Linked DNA regions of Callithrix jacchus. The protein of the gene in region 3 purifies or fractionates together with the protein of the main gene of each other region. This does not show direct contact. Links are inferred from orthologs where the notes say so. Each region holds a gene or a part of one and is shown on either strand. Other genes may lie near its edges.

Evidence for each region. Proteins that work in one complex are often made in the same cells at the same time.
Region 1: the proteins of CHAF1A (region 3) and ASF1B purify together in Homo sapiens (co-immunoprecipitation; 7 studies listed by BioGRID and IntAct, counting the BioPlex papers as one, with this or other methods). This does not show direct contact. The link is inferred for Callithrix jacchus from reciprocal best matches to the Homo sapiens genes CHAF1A and ASF1B.
Region 2: the proteins of CHAF1A (region 3) and CBX1 purify together in Homo sapiens (affinity purification with mass spectrometry; 4 studies listed by BioGRID and IntAct, with this or other methods). This does not show direct contact. The link is inferred for Callithrix jacchus from reciprocal best matches to the Homo sapiens genes CHAF1A and CBX1.

Annotation. Positions count from the first base shown.
Region 1 is NC_133523.1:12,910,142-12,915,744, reverse strand, and holds the start of ASF1B (histone chaperone ASF1B), read left to right. Parts: upstream 1-2,110; 5' UTR 2,111-2,251; coding exon 2,252-2,360; intron 2,361-5,603. UniProt on the Homo sapiens protein: Histone chaperone that facilitates histone deposition and histone exchange and removal during nucleosome assembly and disassembly. Cooperates with chromatin assembly factor 1 (CAF-1) to promote replication-dependent chromatin assembly.
Region 2 is NC_133506.1:118,185,787-118,191,656, forward strand, and holds the start of CBX1 (chromobox protein homolog 1), read left to right. Parts: upstream 1-2,377; 5' UTR 2,378-2,588; intron 2,589-5,870. UniProt on the Homo sapiens protein: Component of heterochromatin. Recognizes and binds histone H3 tails methylated at 'Lys-9', leading to epigenetic repression. Interaction with lamin B receptor (LBR) can contribute to the association of the heterochromatin with the inner nuclear membrane.
Region 3 is NC_133523.1:4,174,192-4,179,272, reverse strand, and holds part of CHAF1A (chromatin assembly factor 1 subunit A), read right to left. Parts: coding exon 4,981-5,081; intron 4,442-4,980; coding exon 4,381-4,441; intron 3,974-4,380; coding exon 3,905-3,973; intron 2,607-3,904; exon of another isoform or gene 2,500-2,606; intron 1-2,499. UniProt on the Homo sapiens protein: Acts as a component of the histone chaperone complex chromatin assembly factor 1 (CAF-1), which assembles histone octamers onto DNA during replication and repair.

The DNA.
Region 1 (5,603 bases), about 8.7 Mb from region 3:
TGATCCTCCTGTCTCAGCCTCCCAGGTAGCAGAGTACAAGTGTGCACTATCACACCTGGCTTATTCTTTTATGTTGCCCAGACTGATCTTGAACTCTTGGCCTCAAGAAATCCTCCATGCCCAGACTCTAAAATTTAATTTTTAAACAAAGTAAAATTTAAATTAAAAAAAAAAAAAAAAAAAGACATGGCCGGGCGCAGTGGCTCACACCTGTAATCCCAGCACTCTGGAAGGCCGAGGTGGGCAGATCACTTGAAGTCAGGAGTTCAAGACCAGCCTGGCCAACATGGTGAAACCCTGTCTCTATTAAAAATACACACACGAAATTAGCTGGTTGTGGTGGTGCACACCTGTAATCCCAGCTACTCAGGAGACAGGCAGGAGAACCGCTTGAACCCGGGAGGTGGTGGCTGCAGTGAGTCGAGATCGTACCACTGCACTTCAGCCTGGGTAGGTGAGTGAGACTCCGTCTCAAAAAAAAAAAAAAATACAAAAATTGAGCTCGTGGAAGACTCTGAAGTACGTCGAGAATAGTAGGAATGTGTGAATCTACATTTTCAACTGCAAACCTTATGAAACATAAGAAACCAGATCAACGATTTTTTGAAGAAAATGTATTCACATGCCCGATGACAGACGTGCAGCTGAGTGTACAACACAAGGAATCTCAACGTCTTTTCACTGGGTAAAAGAACGCAACACGCTGTGTGTTAGCGGCTCAGAGCTGTGGCTCACGCCTGTAATTCTTGCACTTTTGGGAGCCTGAGGCGGGCGGATCACTTGAGGTCAGGGGTTCGAGACCAGTCCGACCAACATGGAGAAACTCCGTCTCTACGAAAAAACAAAAATTACCCAGGCATGGTGGTGTGCGCCTGTAATCCCAACTACTCCGGGGTGGCTGAGGAAGGAGAGTCTCTTGAACCTGGGAGGTGGAGGTTGCAGTGAGCCAAGATGGAACCACTGCACTCCAGCCTGGGCCACACAGCGAGACTCGGTTTTTTTTTAAGTGGCTTCCAAAAAATGTATAATTAGGTGCGCGGCAGGCATTACTTTTCCACTGGGCAGCGCTGATTTCCCGTGGGACAGTCTCCCAGGCGACGGCCCAGGTGGGATGCGGCGGAGAGAAGTTTCTGGATGTATTATGTGGTCATGAGTCATGCCAGGGAATTTCCACGGCCCGTTCAATGGGAAGGGAGACGCTGCCTCGAAAGCCGAGTAGCAGAGCACCGACTCGAACTGGAACTCCCATTTTCAGTTCCGTCCGCTTGAAACCTCCCAAGAGCCCACCAGGGGGCGAGAAAGGGATTCCAACCCCTCGGGGGCAAGAACGGGATCCAAACTCGGCCAGACTCCCGAGGTCCGAGCGCGGCGCGTGACCGCCACTCCGAACGTTCACAACGTTCACAACGGACACCCGGGCTGCTGCACCTCGAGGTCAGGAGCCAGCCACTCAGAAAAGCTCCAGCAGACGCTCACCTGTTGAACAGACGCTGAGGCCGCAAACGCTCCTCCTCTCTCTTCACACACCCCGGCACCAGGGTAACTCCCACTTCCGCTTCTCTCCAACTAATCCCCAGCTGAGCCTCCTTAGGCTCCCGCTTTCATTACCAATCCAGCCAATCAACTCTCAAAAAACCCTCTTTATCTCCGCCCCACTCCCTCCTGCCAATCACTGGGGGTGCGAGCACCGCCCTTCCCGCCTTCTTTAGCGAGCACCGCGCGCCACCGCTCGGCGGTTGGCGGCGCTGCGCGCTGCGGGATACATATCCCGGAATAGTGGGGCGAGGGGCGGGCCACGCCGGTGCGGGAACCCTCAGGATTGGCCAGCAGGAGGCCGGCGCTCTGACTCTGTCCACTCCTGCCGTTGACCTCCTAGTCGGAGACGCTGGGGATTGGTTCCCAGAGGACACGCTAAGAAGCCTGGAGGTGGTTCCACCCTCCTCACGCTCCGCGGAGAGGGAGCTCCGCTGATTGGTCCAAGGAGTCTGGGCGCGCGCCGACTGGCGCTCCAGGATTGGCTGAGAGGGTGCGCGCGCCGCCAGGGAGCGTTGGCGGTGATTGGCCAGAGGGCGGAGGCCGGCTATTTGAAGGCGGCGCGCGTACGAGATGCGCACTTCAGTCCGCGGAGGGAAGAGTTTGGAGTGGGTTTTGTCAACCCTACCCCGCTGACCTCACCACCGGACCCAGACGCGGCCTCGGCCACAGCCCCTGCCCCTGCCCCTGCTGCAGCGCAGTGAGGCGAGGCGAGGCGATGGCCAAGGTGTCGGTGTTGAACGTGGCGGTACTGGAGAACCCGAGCCCTTTCCACAGCCCCTTCCGGTTCGAGATCAGCTTCGAGTGCAGTGAAGCCCTGGCGGACGGTGAGGCTGGGATTGTGCGGGTTAATCCCCACCCTCGGGCCGACCCCGGCCTCCCCGCGGAAAACTGCTCTCATGGCCAACTTGATCTCCCCCATGAAACTCCTCGTCCTCCCTCTCAGCTAACCCCGATCTCCCCCAGCCCGCCAGTCAACCCGGTGTCCGGGTGGAGACCCCCCCCCCCCCAGTCACCAGCCAACCTGGACCTCCCCGGGACTTCCTTCCCCACTGCCCGCATTGACCTCCCGGGTGGAGGCTTCCCGCTAGCCAACTCGGACATCCCAGTGATCTTCGCCACTGCCCGCCCCAACCTCCCCATAGAGATTAACGCCCCCCACCCAAGCCCCATTTCCAGCGTGGGGAGCCTCATCCATCTTTTTTCTTTGGAGCTCTTCCGAGGTACCCATTTTCATGCAGAGACCTTCTCGGCCTCTATTTCTTAACCCACGGAGATCTTCAGCCACTGTGGCTTCCCTGTGGCAAGACCCCTGTTTCAGCCACCCACCCATTTTTGCCCACTTAGACTCTTTCCTATAGTGAGATACTCCCATCTCCCTTTTTCCCTCTGGAGACCCCACTCTCCAGCCCCTTCCCATTTTTCCCGGGGAAAATCCCAGCCATTTTCTATTTCCCCTATGGAGACCTCTCCCCCAACTCCCTTCTCCCCCCACCGTGAAGACCCTCCCCTCCAGTAACCTTTTTTCCCTATGAAAACCCGTCAATCCCTTGTCAAGACCGCTCTCTTCCCCCATCTTCCCATCTGTCTCCCGGCTCTCCCCTCCCCAACCTGCCGATATTTCAATAACCCTGCCCCCCACCAATTGCTGCTGGTTTTCTACCCCAATGCACATACCCTGGAACCTGATTTCCCTCCTTCGTTGGGGCCCAACCTCCCTATCCCTGAGCTCCCCCGGGGAAGGATGCTACCCTTTGCAGTAACTTGGTCTCCCCAGCTCCCTTTCCCCACCCTCTTCTGTGGGCTTGGACATACACGCTGAGATCCGAGGGGTGGCATAGCCAGGCAGGCATTAGTAGTTCCCCAGGTTTGCCCGCCCATTTCCAGCTGACTGACTGCAGCAATTCTTCGCTTTTTCTTCTTTTTTTGAAAGAGAGTCTTGCTCTGTTGCCCAGGCTGGAGTGCAGTGGCACTTCACTGCAACTTCAGCCTCCTGAGTAGCTGGGATTACAGGCGCCTGCCACTACGCCCGGCTAATTTTAGTATTTTTAGTAGAGGCGGGGTTTCACCACGTTAGCCAGGCTGGTTGCGAACTATGGACTATAAGTGATCCACCCACCTTGTCCTCCCAAAATGCTGGGATTATAGGCACAGGCCACCACAGCTGGCCAATTTTAGTATTTTTAGTAGGGTTTCACCATGTTAGGCAGGCTGGTCTCGAACTCCTAACCTTGTGATCCACCTGCCTCAGGCTCCCAAAGTGCTGGGATTACACGGGCATGAGGCACTGCGCCTAGTTTTCTTCTTGTTTCTTCTTCTTCTTCCTTTCTTCTTTTATATAGCTGGATAATCAGTGCCAAGCTTCCATTGCTTTTGATGGTCTGACCTAGTCTGGGGGTGGGTGGACTGGGCTGAGCTCTGACAGGCTCCAGCTTCAAACAGTCAGCTGGAGCTTAGGGGTCACAGCCTCTTACGCATCTTTTCCAAGGTGCTTCCGCAGATGTACTTATTAATCTGTGTGACTTAAAGGTGCACATGGCTCTCATCTCACAGATGAGAGGACAGGAGGCACAAAGCGCAAAAGACCTTTCACGTCAAGGCTTGTACAATCCAGAATCTAAGGTCACCCAGGGAGCCTTGGCACCACTAAAAGGCGAGTCCTGCTTTCAGGAAGAAGTACTTCATTAGGCCATTTTTCTACTTGGTGGTTAAAAGAGAAAAGGCACAGCCGAGGAGGTGGCCGTGCAGTGGCCTGTGAAGCCGGGGGTGCTAACTAGTGCCTCTTGGGGTCAGGTGGGTGGTTTCCCCTCCAAGCTGGTGGCGTGTATTAGCTCGGGGCTGATACAGTGAGATTCAGATGTGCTCTGGGTAGGCCAGTAGGTCCACCTCTTCCTGAGGAGTCTACTTGTGGCTAACTATAGAATAAGCCAAGTTAAATCCTTTCTGGAACAGGGCAGCATGTAAATAAATAAAGTGTAGAATGTCACTGTGGAATAAGATTTAATTTAAAAGCCAGGAGGAGATGGAAGGAGGTAATAGGCTGAGGGATTCCCAGCTTCCAGGCGGCAGGAGATCGGGTTTCAATCAGCCTGTTTGTGTTCCTTGCATTTACAAATGGTGATGCGGTCATTATCTGATACTTCTACTCCTAGGAAGCTCCTGTCCTGTGACTTTACTAACTTACTTAGAGAATTAGTTGGAAAGGCTAAAGTCAACCTGCTGGTATTTTTTTTTTTTTGAGACAGAGTGTTGCTCTGTTGCCCGGGCTGGTGTGCAGTGGCACGATCTTGGCTCATTGCAACCTCTGCCTCCTGGGTTCAAGCAATTCTGCCTCAGCCTCCTGTGTAGTTGGGACTACAGGCACGCACCTCCATGGCTGGCTAATTTAGTAGAGATGGGATTTCACCACGTTAGTCAGGCTAGTCTCGAACTCCTGAACACAAGACTTGGCCTCCAAAAGTGCTGGGATTACAGGCATGAGCCACCTCACCTGGCCCTGCTGGTCATTTTTTAATAGAAATGGAATGACTTGGCGGGGCACAGTGGCTCACGCCTATAATCCCAGCGCTTTGGGAGGCCGAGGCGGGTGGATCACGAGGTCAAGAGATCAAGACTATCCTGGTCAACAAGGTGAAACCCCTTGTCGATACAAAAATTAGCTGGGCATGGTGGTGCGTGCCTGTAGTCCCAGCTACTCGGGGGGCTGAGGCAGGAGAATTGCTTAAACCCAGAAGGCGGAGGTTGTGGTGAGCCGAGATTGTGCCATTGCACTCCACTCTGGGTAACAACAGCGAAACTCCATCTCAAAAAAAAAAATGAAATGGAATGACTTCTCAGGGGTCACACAGCCAATTTATAGAAGTATTGTCACTGATTTCTGAATCTAAGTTCTTTATCTTCACAATCTTTATCTTTCCAATTCAGGGAAAGAAAGGAAGGATTCCCTATTTCAGAGGTGGAGCATAGATAACGAACGACCATAGAATGTATTGCCAAATGAGGACACTCAAAACTCAGTGAAGGGGTGTGCTATTATTATTATTTATTTTTGAGATGGGGTCTCACTCTAG
Region 2 (5,870 bases), on a different chromosome or scaffold from region 3:
GCCCTGCATCAGCAAAACTGTCTTATAAATGCAGACTCTTGCCTTTTGGGGTAGAGTGAAATAGAGTTTCCTTCTTCCTCCTGATTAGAAGTATACTTTAATATTCAAAATAAAAAAATTAAAAAAACCTTTCAGCCGGCCGCGGTGGCTCAAGCCTATAATTCCAGCACTTTGGGAGGCCGAGGCGGGTGGATCACGAGGTCAAGAGATCGAGACCATCCTGGTCAACAGGGTGAAACCCCGTCTCCACTAAAAATAACAAAAAATTAGCTGGGCATGGTGGCGAGTGCCTGTAATCCCAGCTGCTCAGGAGGCTGAGGCAGTAGAATTGCCTGAACCCGGGAGGCGGAGGTTGCGGTGAGCCGAGATCGCACCATTGCACTCCAGCCTGGGTAACAAGAGCGAAACTCCATCTCAAAAAAATAAAATTAAAATAAAGTAATAAAGTCACCTTCTCCTGCTAGAAGTTCTATTCACTTGCTGACTGGATAGGTGAAAAGAGAGTAAAGCAGAAAGTTTAAAACACACGCACGCACACACGCGCACACACACACACACACACATCTGAGGTGAAGAAAGATGAAGGAAACCTTGATCAGCTCCATTTTCTGCCAGGTAGGAGAGAATTTTCTTTATCCAACAAATGTTGATTGATAACTTTATGCAAGGGACTGTGTTGGGCACTGGAAGTATAGTGGTGACAATACAAGGCAGAGTTTCTATTTACGGGAGTTTTGAGTCCAGAAGCGAAGACAGACTTTAAGGACAAGAAAGTGGGTGAATGTCATGATGGCAGTCTAAATTTTCATATTAATGAGATTTGGGACAACAATCTAGTTGAAATCAGAAAAACCAGAACATATCTCAAACGATAACAAACAAGGTTTTTTCCTAATTGTGTGTTTCTTTGGGATGACTGGGTGAAAGGTGTGCATGGAGGTTAAAGGGTCGGCACTAATGCCAATGAAAAAGGGGACATTTTCGTGGTGCACCCAATGATTAGGTGGAAATTCAGGAAGCTATGAGACACCTATGGGGGACTCTAGGGAATCAGGGAAGGCCTCAAAGGGGAATTAATCTTTTTTCTTTTTTTTTTTTTGAGACAAAGTGTCACTCTGCCACCCAGGCTGGAGGGCAATGGCATGATCTCGGTTCACTGCAACCTCCACCTCCCGGGTTCAAGCAATTCTCTGCCTCAGCCAACCAAGTAGCTGGGATTACAGGCACCCACCACCATGCCCAGCTAATTTTTGTATTTTTAGTAGAGACAGGATTTCACCATCTTGGTCAGGCTGAACTCCTGGTCTGGTGATCCACCAACGTTGTCCTCCCAAAGTGCTGGGATTACAGGCGTGAGCCACTGCACCCAGCCAGGGGAATTAATCTTAACACTGAGTAGGTTTTTTTTTTTAGATGGAGTTTTGTTTGTTGCCCAGGCTGGAGTGCAATGGTGCGATCTCAGCTCACTGCCACCTCCGCCTCCTGGGTTCAAGCAATTCTCCTGCCTCAGCCTCCCAAGTAGCTGGGATTACAGGTGGCACCACCATGCCCAGCTAATTTTTGTACTTTTAGTGGAGACGGGGTTTCACCATGTTGGCGAGGCTGGTCTTGAACGCCTGACCTCAGGTGATCCACACACCTCGGCCTCCCAAAATGTTGGGATTATAGGCTTGAGCCCCCGCACTCCGCCTTAAGAGGAGTTTTGCAGAGATTTGAGGAGGCGGAGATTGAGGACTACAGAAACGGTTGGAAATTTGAGGAGGCGGAGATATAATAAAGTTCTGGTTAAGAACATAAGATTAAAAAATTCAAGGATGTGAATTACCTAACTGTCCAGAAGTGGTTGATTTTTTGGGCCAAGCATCAAAGGGCTCATTTATAAAAATCACATGTCCTGGTCGGGTGCAGTGGCTCATGCCTGTAATCCCAGCACTTTGGAAGGCCGAGGCGGGCGGCTCACGAGGTCAAGAGATCGAGACCATCCTGGCCAACATGGTGAAACCCCGTCTCCACTAAAAAATACAAAAATTAGCTAGGTGTGGTGGCGCGCGCCTGTAGTCCCAGCTACTCGGGAAGCTGAGGCAGGAGAATTGCTTGAACCTGGGAGGCGGAGGTTGCAGTGAGCCAAGATCGCGCCGCTGCACTCCAGCCTGGGGACAGAGCGAGACTCCGTCTCAAAAAAAAAAAAATTATGTTCTAATTTTCTAGGTTACAACGCTCAACGCTGCAGTCGCTCCGCCGTTACAGTTTAAAACCTCGAAGTCCCTACCACCCTCGCCTACTGTGCGTGCGCAGCGCGCGGCACTTCGGGCCCTGTAGTCTTGGACTGATCCCGCGGACCAGGGTGCCATGCGGCGGGTCGCCGCGCCTGCGCGGTGCGGGCGGCGGGCAGAGCAGAGTGCGAGGCTCTTTTGTTCGGTTGAGGGGAGGGCCCTTGGCCTGGGCCTGCGGTACGCCGCTCCAGTGAGGTGCTCCATTGCGGCCACCGGGCTTGCTGCCTTCCTGGGCGCCACTCCCCCGGCCGACCCGACACGACGCGCCAGCAGCGCAGCACCGATTCCTCTCCGGCTGTTAGGCGCTGCTCTGAGGTGAGGAGCCCGCTGGAGGCGGGAGAGCTGGGGGAGGGGGCACGGTGGCGGCGGCGGCGGGAGCCCTGCGTGGGGGCCCGCGCTTTCGAGGCAGAGGTTGGGGGCGGGGAGCGGGGAGCGCGCCCGGGTCCAGCGTCCTGTTTTTCCACTTCCCGCGCTGAGCTCTCCGCCTGGCGCTGAGGCGTCGTTGCCAGCTGCGAGAAGGATGGGGAGGGCGGGGCGCGAATCCTGAGCCAGAGACTGAAGCTCTTCAGGGTGGGCCGAGCAGTTGGGGACCGCTTTTCCGGGCCCGCGTAGTCCGGGACAATGCTGCTTGGGTTGGGTGGGCGTCTGGGGATAGGGCTGGAGAGAAAACACCTTACAAGATTGGGAAGGGGACAGGCTTGAGGCTTGGATAGGTGTGGGGAGGAGCTGACGACCGCGAGACCCGAGGTTTGTAACTGTAATCGGAGGACGCCGGGTCCCGCCGGGGCTGCCAGAGAAACCTGGCTTTGCAGGACTACGGAAGAGTAACTTGGAGTTAATTGGAAAGAGGGCCCTGGGCCGCACAAAGTGTGCCGATTGGTGGAGGAGATGGAATAAATTGGGAAGGGGGGCACGGAGGGGGAGGGGCAAGCGTTTGCTGGGCCTGGCTCTGGAGGGGGAGGAGCTGTTAGGATATGTAGGGCGGAGATCCGGAGAATATTTCTGTAAGGTGTGTAAGGGAAAAGGGGAAAGCAGGCCGCCCTTGCTTCCTGATGGGTCCTTTCAGTGGGGAGGCTGTAAAATAATACGTGAAGAAAGGATTGAATACGCTTTCTTCACTTTTCCAGGTTTCCTACTGCCTTTGCTCCATGATTCCTTTGGGGAGTTAAGTCCAAGTGCAGCTCTTGCTTTGATTCAAAGTTAGTTCCATAAGTTTTTGTCTGGGATCGTTACTGGTCTCACAAAGGTGATAAAATTGTAAAATGCGTAGGTGAGTTAACAGTTAAGGAATGGAGTGAGGTAGTGATGACATCGTGTAAGGTAGGAGAAATTGGGAGACAGGAAGAGCAAGTATGTGAGATTGTGAGATAATACTTGTTTAGTGGGCCCTTCTGTTTTTTAGCCAGGTTTTCCTTTTTGGAAACTTTGAATACAGAGTGAGCAGTATTTTACCTCTTTTCCAACTATTTAGATGAGGGTTTTTCGTGAATTGATGTTACATTTAGACTTGTGTTGGTTTAAGTCAGTTGAGGTGGAATTTACAAAAAGATAGCTATAATCTGTTATACTAGAACCTCTAGCCTAGGGTAAAGTAGCCTTCTCAGTTGTGTTAAGAATCACACCAGCAGTTTGGAAAAATTGTGAAAGGTCCAAGGCTTTGGAATAGATTCAGGAATACAATGGGGAAATTAATGCCGGTGTTCCTCCTTAGGTGCCTTACAGACTTTTATAGGAAAGTGGTGAGATTGAAAATCCCTTGTATTGAAACCAGTTGCACCTTAATGAAGCTTCAGGGCAGCGGAGGACCTGAAGTCATTTACGATTTTCCCTGTGGTAATATTTTTCTTCAATGGCTGCTGTTATTCTAAATTATTTTTCACTAAAAATGTAAATAATGGGGCCGGGGATGGTGGCTCACGCCTGTCATCCCAGTACTTTGAGAGGCTGAGGTGGGCAGATCACCTGATGTCAGGAGTTTGAGACCACCCTGGCCAACATGGTGAAACCCCGTGTCGACTAACAATACCAAAATTAGCCAGGTGTAGTGTGCACACACCTGTAGTCTCAGTTCTTCGGGTGGCGGAGGCAGGAAAATAGCTCGAACCTGAGGCAGAGGTTACAGTGAGATGAGATGGCACCACTGCACTCCAGCCTGGCAACAGAGGGAGACTGTCTCAAAAAAAAAAAAAAGAAATAGTTTTGAATGTAAATAGAAGCCTAGTGCTTATAGCTTCCATATTAAAGGAGACCAAGTAAGGTACCCTAGTCTTCTGCATTTTATAAACCATATCTCCAAAGAAAAGAAGCAATCACTCTTGTGCCCATTTTAAGGACTAGGAAAATGTTTCTTTTTGTTGTTCACACCATTTGAAAAGAATTCCTTAAATTTTGGCATACTCTAGTGGTTTATCTAGCAAAACCTCCCTTTTTAAAAAATATCCTGGCTGGGCACGGTGGCTCAAGCCTGTAATCCCAGCACTTTGGGAGGCTGAGGCGGGTGGATCACGAGGTCAAGAGATCGAGATCATCCTGGTCAACATGGTGAAACCCCGTCTCTACTAAAAATACAAAAAATTAGCTGGGCATGGTGACGCGTCCCTGTAATCCCAGCTACTCAGGAGGCTGAGGCAGGAGAATTGCCTGAACCCAGGAGGCAGAGGTTGCGGTGAGCCGAGATCGCGCCATTGCACTCCAGTCTGGGTAACAAGAGCGAAACTCCGTCTCAAAACAAACAAACAAAAAAATATCCTATCTGCGGTGGTATAAGAGATTTTCCATTAGATTTGGTAGATTTTCACTTCATAGGTTCTTTCCATAAAGAGTTTTTGGAGTAGAAGGCTAATTGCTAGTTTATGGACTCCCATAAAATGGGCCATACCTCTTGTTCATCAGTGCCTGCCACATAGTAGGCTGTTCAGATTGTTGATGCATGGGGGGGCGTTGAGATCCATTCTCAGAACTCTGTGTTAGCCAAATTAATGTGCATTTACATATTTAGTAGTTTGCTTGTCTTATTATCTGTGACATTTGGCAGAGTTAAACTGTTGTCTTTGGCATGCTTGTCTTAGCCTCAGTTTCTTTTTTGTTGTTGTTGTTGTTGTTTTTGTTTTTTTAGACAGGGTCTCACTCTGTTGCCAGGCTGGAGTGCAGTGGTGGTATCATGGCTAATTGCAGCCTCACAAGCAATCCTCCCACCACAGCCTCTTGAGTAGCTAGGACTACAGGCTCATGCCACCATGCATGGCTTCTTTTTTTGTAGAGACAGTCTCTGTTGCCCAGACTGATTAGCCTCAGTTTTGTACTCACTCTGGTACTAAATATAGTAGAAGTATACAGACTGTGCAGTTGGCCATTTTAAATACCTTAGGCCTCAGATTCTGGGTTTCATCAGCAAGCAAAATAGCTTGAATATATCTGTTTTAAAAGAATCTTGAAAAATCTTTGTGTCCTTTATATTGACCTGAGTAGTAATATACCAGTAGTGATGTCTGTTGAAAAACTGAATAGCACCTGGCGCAGTTGGCTCATGCCTATAATCCTAGCATTTTGGGAGGCCAAGGCGGGTGGACCACCTGAGGTCAGAAGTTTAAGACCAGC
Region 3 (5,081 bases):
AAGCCCAGGCACTATGTAGATCCACAGAGCCGAGTTTCCAGAGCTATAGGATGGAGGTCAGATTGGGAGTCTCAAGGGACAGGATGTGGGGACAGACAAAAAGGGAGCGTTTTGAGTGATGGAAACAGTGTGTATCTTCATTATGGTTAGCTGGCCCCGTAATCTGTCAATATGAAAGTCCTGAAAAGCATGTGTTTTATTGCATGTAAATTATATCTCAACAAACCTTGCTTAAAAAAAAAAAAAAAAGGGCCAGCACAGTAGCTCAGGACTGTAATCCCAGCACTCTGGGAGGCCAAAGACAGTGGATCACCTAAGGTCAGGAGTTCAAGACCAGCCTGGACAACATGGTGAAATCCTGTCTCTACAAAAAAATAAAAAACTTAGCAAGGGGTGGTGGTGGGCACCTGTAGTCCCACTATTAGGGAGGCTGAGGCAGAAGAATCACTTGAACCCAGGAGGTGGAGGGTGCACTGAGCCAACATGGTGCCACTGCACCCCAGCCTGGGCGAGAGTGAGACTCCGTCTCAAAAGAAAAAAAAATAATTTAGAGACAGGGTCTTACCGTGTCGCCCAGGCTGGTCTCCAACTGCTCTGTTTTTCTGAGATGGAATCTCGCTTTATCATGCAGCCTGGAGTGCACTGGCATGATCTTGGCTCACTGCAACCCGCTCCTCCCGAATTCAAGGGATTCTCCTGCCTCAGTCTCATGAGTAGCTAGGATTATAGGTGCCCACCACCACGCTCAGTTAATTTCTGTATTTTTACTGGAGACAAGATTTCACCATGTTGGCCAGGCTGGTCTCGAACTCCTGACTTCAGGTGATCCACTTGCCTTGGCCTCCCCAAGTGCTGGGATTACAGTCGTGAGCCACTGCACAAGGCCAAAAGGAGAAATTTCTGTATAACAAAAGACTCTGTAAACAAAGACGTAGTAGACTGAGATGAAATATCAGAGGATTAAATACCAGACTGTAAAAAATACTTGTATTACAGATCAGGCCAAAAAAAAGAGTCAGTTCTGTTAAAAAAAAAAAATAGGTAAAAAATAGGAATTGGCAAGTCACAGAAGAACTAAAATGGGAAACCAACACAAAAAAATGCTCCACTGCACCAAGAGTCAAGTAAAAATGGAAAGTAAAATAAGAATATCAATTTTTTTTAATCCATCAGACTGGCAAAGTTAAAATTCATTCCATCCATTAATATCACAGAATCAGGAAGAGACATTGTCAGGCACTGCCAGGCACGTACACCTGAGTTTTCCTGTCTGGCGGGCACTCTGGCCATGGCTAACAACGTTTCAGCAATGTGCTGTTTTGTCCTAGAGGTTGGCTGTCCCAGAGGACGCATGTGTGCAGAGAAGCATACTCAGGAACCCCTACTGTGCCACTGAGGGGCAGAGAAGCTGAGATAGCGGCAGGCTCTGTGGCTCATGCCTGTGAGCCCAGCACAGTGGGTGGCTAAGGTGAGAGAACTGCTGAGGCCAGGAGTTCAAGACCAGCCCTGGCAACACAGTTAGACCCCATCTCTACTACAAATAAAATTAGGGAGGCTGAGGTGAGCACATTATCTCACGTCAGGAGTTCGAGATCAACCTGGCCAAATTGGTGAAAACCGTGTCTACTGAAAATATAAAAAATTAGTGAGACACGGTGGCAGGTGCCTGTAATCCCAGCTACTAAGAAGGCCAAGGCAGGAGAACTGCTTAAACCCGGGAGGTGGAGATTGCAGTGAGCTAAGATCGAGCCACAGCACTCCAACCTGGGTGACAGAGCAAGATTCCGTCTTAAAAAAAAAATAAACAAATGAATAAATAAAATTTTAGGCCGGGCGCGGTGGCTCAAGCCTGTAATCCCAGCACTTTGGGAGGCCAAGGCAGGTGGATCACGAGGTCAAGAGATCAAGACCATCCTGGTCAACATGGTGAAACCCCATCTCTACTAAAAATACAAAAATTAGCTGGGCATGGTGGCAGGTGCCTGTAATCCCAGCTACTCAGGAGGTTGAGGCAGGAGAATTGCCTGAACCCAGGAGGCGGAGGTTGCGGTGAGCCGAGATCGCGCCATTGCACTCCAGCCTGGGTAACAAGAGCGAAACTCCATCTCAAAAATAAAAATAAAAAAGAGAGAGAGAGAAACCATGATATCATTGCATTATTAAGTATTATCCAACAGTGAAAATAAATGACATGGTCAGGCGCAGTGGCTCACGCTTGTAATCCCAACACTTTGGGAGGCCGAGGCAGGCAAATCATCTGCAGTTGGGAGTTCGAGACCAGCCTCATCAAAATGGAGAAACCCTGTCTGAACTAAAAATACAAAATCAGCCGGGCGTGGTGGCACATGCCTGTAATCCCAGCTACTCGGGAGGCTGAGGCAAGAGAACCACTTGAAACTGGGAGGTGGAGGTTGTGATGAGCTGAGATCACGCCACTGCACTCCAGCCTGGGCAACAAGAGCAAAACTCCATCTCAAAACAAACGAACAAACAAAAACAGTGCTCGCTTCAGCAGCACATAGACTAAAATCGGAACGATACAGAGAAGATGAGCACGGCCCCTGCACAAGGATGACACAAAAATTCGTGGAGCAGTCCATATGTTTTTTTAATAAAAGAGAAAGAAATGACGTGGGTCTGTGTTTGTCACTACGGAACGTGTAGGCACAACAATGTCATGTTGTGCACCTTCAAGATATGCAATTGTGAAGTATTTTGAGATACAAATAAAAGGATAGGCCAGGAGCAGGGGCTCACGCCTGCAATCCAAGCACTTTGAGAGGCCAAGGCTAGGAGAAGCTTTTGAGGCCAGAAGGTCAAGACTAGCCTGGGCAACACAGCAAAATCCCGTCTGTACAAAAAAATTTAGAAATTAGGCCGGGCGCAGTGGCTCATGCCCATAATCCCAGCACTTTGGGAGGCTGAGGTGGGCAGATCACTTGAGGTCAGGAGTTTGAGACCACACTGGCCAACATGGGAAAACGCTGTCTCTTCTACAAATACAAAAATTAGCTGTGCGTGGTGGTGAGCACCTGTAATTCCAGCTACTCAGGAGGCTAAGGCAGGAGATTCACCTGACCCCAGGGAGCCAAGACTGCGCCACTGCACTCCAGCCTAGGCGAGAGTGAGACTCTGTCTCAAAAAAAAAAAAAAAATTAGCCAGGTGTGGTGGCATATGCCTGTAGTCCCAGCTACTCCGAAGGCTGAGGTGGGAGGATCACCTGAGCCTGAGAGGTCAAGACTGTAGTGAGCTCTGACTGTGACGCTGCACTCCAGCCTAAGTGACAGTGTGTGACCCGGTCTCAAAAATAAATAAATAAACGGCAGATAGATACATTAAAAAGAATGAAATCCACCTAAATATGGCAATATGACACATACCCGAGACAGCTAAGTACACACATGTATGAACAGACAGTGAGTGGAGCAGGGAAAGGCACTGAAGGCCCGCTAACATCGGAGACAGGCTCCCTCTGGGTAAAAGGGACGGAGGGCTGTGGTTTCCACGCACAGATGGTGGCTCAGAAGGTCTGAGCTGTCAGGTGACCAACGCCAGGTGGGGAAAGTAAATCTTTGTGAATTCTACTGTTTTGCGGCTATGTTTGCCCCTCAAGCCTAAGTTTCCCAAGGGTAAAAACATGGTTAACTTCTCTTAACGCCTAACACAAAATTACTCAGAAGCAGCCTCTGAAAACAGCACTTTTTAATCAGACACGCCACTTTTTACCTTTTTTGGGTCAAAGCGAAGACAAAATATTGAGCCTCAAGAGTTTACCAAAACGAACTTTCCTGGCTTACCAGAGGCTCCGTGCCTCATGATCAGAGAAGCTGGCTGGTGCCAGATCCTTTCAATTTCAGAGAGAAAACAGCCGAAACTGGAAAGCAAAGGCAGCCGGCTGCTCACCTTGGGGGCCTGTGGAGTCTTTGGTTTCTGGAAGAACCTGGTGATTTCAGCCTTCTCTGCTTTAATACGCTGTGATGTAAGAGAAAATGATGAGAAAGAAGAGCGGAAAAGACACGGTGCACGCTTCAAAACATGCAAATGTCCCCCAGCACCAAAACTCAAGCATGTTATCTCAAAGGCTCTGCTGTGATTTTTTTAGCTCTCAAAACCCACAGACCCGCAACCATGCCAGCCAGTCTCAAAATGTCCGAGTTGCCCTTGTGGGTGGAAGTGCCAGGGTATGGGGCCAGTAGGCGTGTGACAGACCAGCACTGAGAAGAAGCGAAAGGATGCATCTAGAGATTCGTCCCTCCTGGGGGCGCCATTTGGTTTCCTCAAACCAAGAGAACGTTAAGACGACAGCTGTGGCTAGAATTCCACCTTGTGCATCTGCTTCAACGGGCTGGGATGGGGAAGTTCTGAAGGAAACACGCTACCTTCTCCTCCTCTCTTAACCGTTTCTCTTCTTCCTTTTTCCTTTTCTCCTCAAGTTTGGCCCTGTGAGACAGCAAATGACATTTCAGCTGACTCTTTGCTACGTTCTGGAAGGGACCACGGTACGCAGCTGTTAGTAAATGGCAAGTATTTAACTTTGCAGCAACGAATATGTTACTTCCACGTTACTATAAAGCTATAACGTAGGCCTTCACAATAAAAACGACAAATAGACAATGAAACTCTTCCTGCGACTAGAATATATATATATAAAAGACTTTAGCCAGCCGATGCAAAATTACCACAAACAAAACCCATATTCCTGCGATGCAAATGCCTCAGTTGGTTGGGAACTGGAAGGACAGTCACAGGCAGAGACAAGGGGCCCAGGGTGAGTGGACATGGGGGAGCACAAAAGAGCAGGGAGCTGCTTTCCACTGCTCCCACGTCGGGGACGCACGTGCAGCTCACACAGGAGAAACAGAAAGGAACTGATGGCAGCCCCAGTCTGCCTGCGAAACACCAAAGGCCCATCAGAGCGGCCAGAAGTGGAATCCAGCAGCGGGGAGGTAGGCCCAGCACGGACGGCTGAGGGCACTCACTCCAGGGCTTCCTGCCTCTCCTTGCGCCGCTCTTCCTTAAGCCGCTGCTTCTCTGCCTTCTCCTTCTCATCCTTCTCCCGTTTCTCCCGCCTCTCCTTTTC